Coturnix japonica: one gene and its partner. The protein of the gene in region 1 interacts with the protein of each later gene in a pairwise test. Links are inferred from orthologs where the notes say so. Each region holds a gene or a part of one and is shown on either strand. Other genes may lie near its edges. The genes, in order: EFHC1 and KCTD4.

Region 1 (3,923 bases):
ACTGGAGACACGTTAACAGAATGTTTCATAAACAGCAGCCCTGCCACAGGATTGCCATTCCTTTCTGTTCAATAAATACCAAGGGAAACATTCAATGAAAACCAAGGAGTTTGTCCTTAGATTGGCAATATCAGCGCTTGTCAGAAGCACACAGGCTTTTAAGGGCATGAACGCCAGGCTACATCTCACAATATCAGGTGAGTAATGCAAAACTGAAAGGGAAAACCCAGAATGTAAACTCCTAATCTCAGTTGCTGCCAGCCCATATTGGAGAAATGCTACTGAATTAAGTATTTCTTGCCATGTCTGTAGAGCTTCATATAAACACTGCTTCTCCTCCCAGGGTCTCAGTTCGTTAGAGTGCATCTGAATAACCAGTAACTAACTACGTTATCTTATCTGAATGCAGAGGTTTTTTTACAGCATGTCTCCAAATTCACATAGAAAACAAGTATCTTGCTGATCATTTTATAGGCTGGAACATAGAGGCAAAGTGAGGTGATAACACTCACTGAGCAACATTGCAAAGACATTTCTGGAGTGCAGATCGACTTAAACATCACCAGTAGGGCAATACTTCCAGTTACTCTGAAATAACAATCTGATCTGCTAAATCCTCTGGGTGTTTCTTCTGCACACAGCGCCACTGATGTCAGTAGAAGCACGCACATGACTAAAGCAGGTGGGGTTTTGCTGATAGAAGAAATAATATTTTGCTAGGGGCAGAGATTTGCATTGTAAATTTCCAAGTGGTTACTGAGAATAATGCTGAGATAACCTTTATAACTGCACGATTGAGAGTATTTGTTATGAGTGAATGACTCCATTTACTGTTGAAAACTCAGTCGTCACTGACTTAGAAAACAGTGTGACTGTTTGTGCTGGAAGGCACCGCTGGGGTTGGTACAGTGGAAGTTAAGAGGCTCTGTGATATGGATAGAACTTTGACTGACCTGCAGTGGGGCTCACCATCCCTTGAGAAGGTTTATCCTTTATCCCAAAGCGAGGGCTGTGTTAGTACAATGGTCTTTCTTTTGTGGAGAAGGATCTACAAGAGGTATCAGGATGACATAGAAGGTCTTGCCCTGGAAGGGTTAGTTTTCAACAGGAATATCAAAGACATGCCCCAAGATTTTTGTCTGTTTGTTTTGCAATGGAGCATGCCCCACATAACAAGGATCAGATGCAAGCGCATGATGTTCCTTATCCTGCAATACCGGAGCATAGTGAGGCCTTTCTAGGTACTGGGAGCCCATTCTTAAAGCTATTAGGTTCCACAGAGACATCAGGCATGCCCTGCTGTATCCATTTCCTACCGAAGTTTGTGAGCTTCTGAGCAAAGCAGTCAGGAAAATTCAAAGACTTTGGCTTCTAAAACTGCAATTATAGTAGCACTGAGTTGAAGATGAGTAACAGTATCAAGATCTGAGATATTAACTTCCCATGGAGAAGGAAATGCAAATTGTCAGCTGCTCTAAAACAGCACTAGAAGGAACTCAGGGTGTATTGCTTTTCATCTTGCTTTTGCAAGAGGATATTGGGAGGATTTGAGGTTACCAGATCCTCACCTTGTTGACCATTGTGAGTGGGGAAAAGGAAAGCTTGCTTCCTTATTTAGGTATCTATTCAAATGCAGAGGATGAGTCTACTTCTTCCAAGGAGTGTGAGTACAGCTGAGAAGTTTCACTTCCTTGAGAATTCTGGAGGCTGCAATGGTATCAGCTCAGTGGAGGGATACCAGTTCTCTGACCAGACTCTCAGTTCTCAGGTTCCAGAGCATCAGTTTCATATGGTCTATCAAGCATTAAATTCTCCAGGCAATACAAGGAAGGCATCTATGGAAGAATCAGGTGACTGTATGGGTCCTGGTTCAGGGCAGTACCAGAATGAGAAGTAAGTTCATAGAATCATAGAATGGCCTGGGTTGAAAAGGATCACAATGACCACCTAGTTCCAACCCCGCTGCTATGTGCAGGATTGCCAGCCACTAGACCAGGCTGTCCAGAGCCACAAAGGAAACAGAACACATAACTGAGGTGGTTCAGAAGTGGTCTGCCTGTTTATAAAGTCAGTTTTAGAGTGCTGCTCCCCTTTTGGTACCATATGAATTGGCAGGGCAACTAAAAAATGGATTCATGAGTACTAGATCCCCAGGGTTAAGTCTGCAGATAGTGGTTCTGTTTTGGGGCAGTTTAAGGGGACATCAGATGGGTGCAAGATGCAATGGCATCTTGGGGATGGATTTAAAAGCACCAAGGAGGCTGGGCTCAGCCATATCTGTTGCTCTGGGAACTTGTCTTGACTTGAAATTGCCTTGGGACAGCTCAGGGAGCTCCTGTGGATGAGGTTAGGGGAAGCAAGTGGATTCAGAGAGTTCATTCCCCCCCCCAGGAGTGAGTGAGCTCAGCAGGCAGCTGTTGGCTTAGAGAAAAACCAGCTTCCCTGGGCAAAGAGTTCAGTGGTTTTCAGCTCCCTTGGGTGAGTTTATAAGGATCTCAAGCCCTTTGAGAGTCAGTTTGGTGGATATCCTGAGGGGCATCAGGTGAGCTGGGGTGTCAGGTTATCCACAGGATACCAGCTCCCCCAGGGATTTCAGATTAATTGAGGAAGTACCCAACCTCTTGTGGGGATTAGGAGGTGATCTGGGCAAACCACAAGCTGACTAGGGTAGGCCTCTGAGAAGATATAAGGTGAATGTGGAGATACCAGGTCCACTGGGGAGTTAGAGGAGGGTCTGAGACAGTACCAGGTTCCCTGGGAGCGTGAACAAGGACACCAGGATCCCCAAGGAACCACGGGTCAGTGAAAGTCCCCCATAGCATCTGGGCTGTGCAGAAGCCTCACAGGGCTCCTCCAGCAAGGGCTACCTTCAAGACCAGGCGGGGGCTGGGGGTACCGATGCTGAGGGGTCCCGAGAGCTGGGCTGAGCAGGGGCTGCGCTCACCGTGGGGTCCCTGAAGGAGCAGCCCGGGAGGAAGGGCAGACCCGGCCTCGGCTCCGAGCTCATGGCGGCTGCTTTCACCTCCCAGCTCCCAGCGACGCTGTCTCTATGGCAATCACCAGGCCCCGCCTAATACGCACGTTCAATAGACTAACGGCGGCTGCGGCCTTGTCCCGGCTAAGGGCCCTGAGGGGCTGGGCCTCGGCTGTCACCACCCCCGTTGTGTGTAAAAGCAGCTGCCTTGAGGCTGTGGAAAGTGTTCCTCCTCGTATTTCTTTCCCTGTTGCAGGATGTAGTTGTGCTGCTCTCACAGCTGGGCCTGTGTATGTGAGACTGAAAACATGTCCAGGCTGTGGGCGGCCTGCCCTCCTCATAGAGAAAAGTAGCTGTGAGACTCTACCCAAGTTCTCAAAATACCCCACAGGAGAAGAGGTTGTGCTTATTAACCATGTTATATATATATATATATATATATATATATACACATTAGCTGTGGAATAGCCAGTTATAACACTGACACAGATCCCCCACAGTGTGAGATTTCACGTATAGGAAGGAGGAAAGCCTTTAAATGTAAAGATCCTGTGGGAAAGTTGCTCTTAAATGTAACAGATAAGGAGAGTCACGTCGATCACCAAGGAGAAAAGAGGGTTTTGTGTTTCTTCTTCCCTTTAGTGCCTTTATGTTGGTGTGTAAGACAGAGCAGGCTGTGATTCATGGGCAGGCAGCAGGATCTGAGTCTGTAAGCAGAAGTCAAGCAGGAACACAGAGAGACTAAAAGCAGCAGGGAGAGATAAAGGTGTCTGATGGGCTCAGAAAGGGAAATAATAACTTGAAGGCCAAGCAGGGTTGAAAGGCAGCAAGCAGACAGTGAGGAACTGGCTTGGATGTGGGTGTTGTTGGGGCTTAAGCAGTCTGTCTGATTGCTCCTGGTGTGGGATCCAGCCATCATTCAGCAGGTATCCTGAGCACAAGGGCCAGT
Region 2 (3,923 bases), on another chromosome or scaffold:
TCGGTGTTTGTACAGCTTCCATTTGCATTATGTGATGATTTTTCAGCTGGCTTTTGTGGAGTGACTGGTTTGTAAACTTTGTTTAAAATACAAACAGGAAGATGTAATAAACTGTGCACATGAGGAGAAAGAAGGTATTTGTTCCACCGCTCATATTAATGCTTCCTAAATGCTAGCAGGTGATCTATTCAAAACTAATACCACTACCTGCTTTTGGTAGGCTGTTGTGCTCTGCTAATTGCCTCTCTTTATGATCACCAATGATTGATTAGTAGAAAATAGTGCCTTCAGCACTGTAGGAGGTTGGAAACCTGTTACACAAAATTGTTGGAAACCTGTTACATGAAATTTTATGCCAAACATTTTTATTAGCCATCTGATAAACATATATAACCAGAAAAATGCAACATTCTCTTTAGAGTGAATTCATTTTCCATAATAAAACAGACCCCCCAGCATTACTGGTTGGCTGACATGTTCTTAGCAGTTGCTATTAATGTAGTAGCACAGCTGTAAATTTCTTTTTAAGAGAGCTGAAATCAGAGTTGTTTGACTTCAGAATCGAGCAGATTAATTTTAAACCCTCTTTCAATTTCATGTGTTTTTTTTTGCAAACTCGTCATAAAAACAAATTAGCATCAACACTAAGGAACACTGAAAATCATTTATTCCAGTTAAAATCCATTCTGAATTCATGAGGAGCAGCAGAACATATCGTGAGCCTGCCTGTTGTATGAGAACAGTCTCTGTGCTGCTCGACAGAGCAGTGAGGTGTATGCGTGTTAGTCATACAAGTACACAGAAATTCAGCCAGACTTCCCGGTTGAAAGACAGCATGAAAAAAAAAAACATAGTACAAATACCAGAAAGCGTTCGGTCTCTGTTTACAGTGGTTAGCAGATAAATTTGATGCTTGAATTGAATAAAAATTTCACTCAGCTCGAATAAGCCGGAGATGGATGTCGTTACGAGATTTACATACCATTAGCTCACATTAACTGATTAGCAGCCGAGCTGTGTGGTACAGGGCTGGTTAGATACGAGATCTGTGATGCCAGGACGCTGCCGTTAAAGGAGGTCTGCCGACTGCATGCTTGTTTCCTCTGCCTTTGTAATTACTTGATAAAATGAAGTGCATCGCTGTGAACAATAGACCCTTTGGAACAATCCAGGCTGGTCAGCAGTCTGAATCCACATTTTAAAGCCATCATAATTGCCTCAAACTTAAGAGTTTCCAGGGTACAGACGAAGGTGTTGTCCTCCTTCAGCACAAGTCGCGTACCATTTTCAGACTTTATGAAGTATTTGAATTGAATTATATTGGAAGAGACTGAAAACTCCTCTGGAAATCCATCCAGCCTGCTTTTGGACACCAGTACGATTCGGGATTTAATTTTTGCTATGAAATCAGGAGCGTTACAAAAGATCCGGAGCCCCTGCGAGCGGTCGTGGCTGTCAGTTATTTCCAGGAAAGTGGTCTCTCGAGACGCGAGCTGCTCCTTCTCCCACCTCGATTTTACTGCATCCGATAAGACTTTCAGCTGAAAGAAATCTGCTTCGTGTGCCAGAAGTTGATTTTCTCGAAACCCTTCCGGTAGAAGAAGTTCTCCATTTCGGAGGAAGTTCAGAATGTGTCTGAACAGGAGTCCATCTCTGTCTATGAAGTAATGTCCATCCGCATCGAAAGGGCACATTATTTTTCCATTGATTATACCTTCGAGGAAAGAATCTGGGTACTTGGTTAATGTTTGTTTTTGTGTGATGTACAGATAGCCGCCAACGTTCAGAGTAACCAGAGACGTTTTATAGTCCTTGTCTTGCTCAGAGCCCTCGAAGTTGCTGTGGTTTTCTTCAGATTCCTTTGCTCTTCTGTTTGATTTTCTCTCCATTATCGAAGCGAGCACAGCGATCTTGCTTTGTTCTTGTCAGCTTGAAAAGGGAGAGATTTTGATTTAAGAGCACCTTTCTTCGGCTCTGGCACGATGTTGGAATGGAAATGCTGCTAGCATTGCTCGGGCTGTCAGCTGGGTTTTGCAGTAGGTGGCGTATCAGCTGTGTATGCAGGGAGATGGCAGGAATATGACTGTAGAGGGAATTTGCATTTAACTGTGTGAGGGAAGGAGGGGATAAAAACCACTTCTCTTTCCGTCCTTACACCTTGGAAGTTTACAGAGTTTTGAGGGTTCCACACAGAAATGAGTAATGCTATTCTAAAGGGCACCTTGTTTTTAATGCTTTGCGACGCGTTTGTAGTATCAGCTGGCCAAATCGTGTGTAATGCTTCTGGAGTTAAACACTCTACTTCATTTATGGTGCAAGGATCTCAGTTTGCACAGAGCTTATTTTTACATTTTCCTTGTATTATCTGTGGTACCTGAGCGTACAACAGGGCAGCACTGAAGGTGAAGGCATCCCTAGTAGTACGCAGAGAGGTATCAGTTCTGGTTATTCCTCACATATAGGACGTGTGTGTGTGGCGCTGAGATGTTTTCACACTGTTACTTTAGAAGTGATGCTGAAGGCTTGTCTGTCTGGTGCGTTTAAGTTTGTGATGAAAGCTTCCATTTTCATCTGATGGAAGCATCCGCACCAATACAAGCATTGCAGCCTAATGAGGTTTAGCTTTATCTGTGCCATAGATAAAAATTGTTTTGGAGAGGAGAGCGGTTTGCTGTTCACATGCGTGCTGTTTCTTAAGTCACTAAGTAGCATCAATTCTTTCTTTTTCAATAGCAGCATCGGCTGCCCTGTGAACAAAGGGTTAGTGTGCTCACAGACAGCGTGCTGAACATCACATAACGTTACAGCTTAGCAACACTTGTGTATGGGGGGAGCAGCGGCAGAGCGTGCTACAATCAAATGGCTGTCTCCTCTCTGTGAAGCTGCGCTGAGGTTGGCTCTTGGGCTTCTTTATAAGGAAAGGTTTCCCCTTTAAGCAGGGAGGGGAAGGCTCTGCATACATCTGTACATACATTTCCTGGGGCCAGGGGGAACCAGGGGGTGGGAGGCACCGTGTGCATCCAGAGCAGTGTGAGCAGTGAGCACTGTGAGTAGTGAGCACAACGTTGGGCTGGCCAGGGGGAGCCGAACCCATCTTTGTCCAGAGTTTTTCACTTCTACAGGTGGATTCCTCTTGCTTTGCCCAATAAACAACAGAAAGTCAGATGATCCTTCTGTGAATTTCTCTGTTTCTAAAGATATTACTCATACTGTTCCCGCTGTCTCTAAGGCTGTTTATCGATACTGTAGAATCATCACTATAATATTTTATTAATTGGTAATTAAACCTAGTACAAATAAATGCACTTTTTAAATCTGCTATTCAGCCTTGCCAGGGTATCCCTACCACTGATACTCAGTTTTTTTCTGCTGCTGTGTGTGATACATTAAACAGATATTATTCATTAGATTGATTTTATCAGGAATTAGTCATGGCTTTAATGTTAACTCTTTGGGACCATTTAGCATTGCTAAATTTCAACCACTTTCTGATTTTTAAACATTTAAACTTTTTTTTTTTTTCAAAGTCAACACCATTCACATTTATCGAGAGAATAATCAAGAAAGTGAAAGGCTGGAATAGTTTGATTTAATTTATATTTTTTTTTGTCATTGCAAGAGACTCCCATTGAAATTAAATTTGTTATCCAGTGATGGAAAATTCAGCTAATGTGCTTATATCATATATAACTTTAGTGTTAAATATAGTGTTAATGGCTGCTAAGAGAATGATTTCTGTGGTGCTTTCAGCATGGTGTTGCTGAAACACTGAGGCTGAACAAGTAATGTCCTTGCAGAAGTAAGCAGGGTTTTCCAAGAAGCTGAGGTTTGTAAAGGATAGGGGTTTCATCACAGCGAGCTGAACTCTCTGCATTTTAAGAGGCAGCGGTTACAGAACAGTATCTGCTCTTTTGATTTTCCAT

The links.
Region 2: the proteins of EFHC1 (region 1) and KCTD4 interact in binary tests that used the Homo sapiens proteins (3 or more experiments, as listed by UniProt). The two-hybrid records come from large-scale screens. The link is inferred for Coturnix japonica from reciprocal best matches to the Homo sapiens genes EFHC1 and KCTD4.

Annotation. Positions count from the first base shown.
Region 1 is NC_029518.1:98,073,098-98,077,020, forward strand, and holds the start of EFHC1 (EF-hand domain-containing protein 1), read right to left. Parts: upstream 3,008-3,923; coding exon 2,945-3,007; intron 1,844-2,944; exon of another isoform or gene 1,581-1,843; coding exon of another isoform or gene 1,569-1,580; intron 1-1,568. UniProt on the Homo sapiens protein: Microtubule inner protein (MIP) part of the dynein-decorated doublet microtubules (DMTs) in cilia axoneme, which is required for motile cilia beating.
Region 2 is NC_029516.1:150,110,383-150,114,305, forward strand, and holds KCTD4 (BTB/POZ domain-containing protein KCTD4), read right to left. Parts: upstream 2,390-3,923; 5' UTR 1,890-2,389; coding exon 1,116-1,889; 3' UTR 339-1,115; downstream 1-338.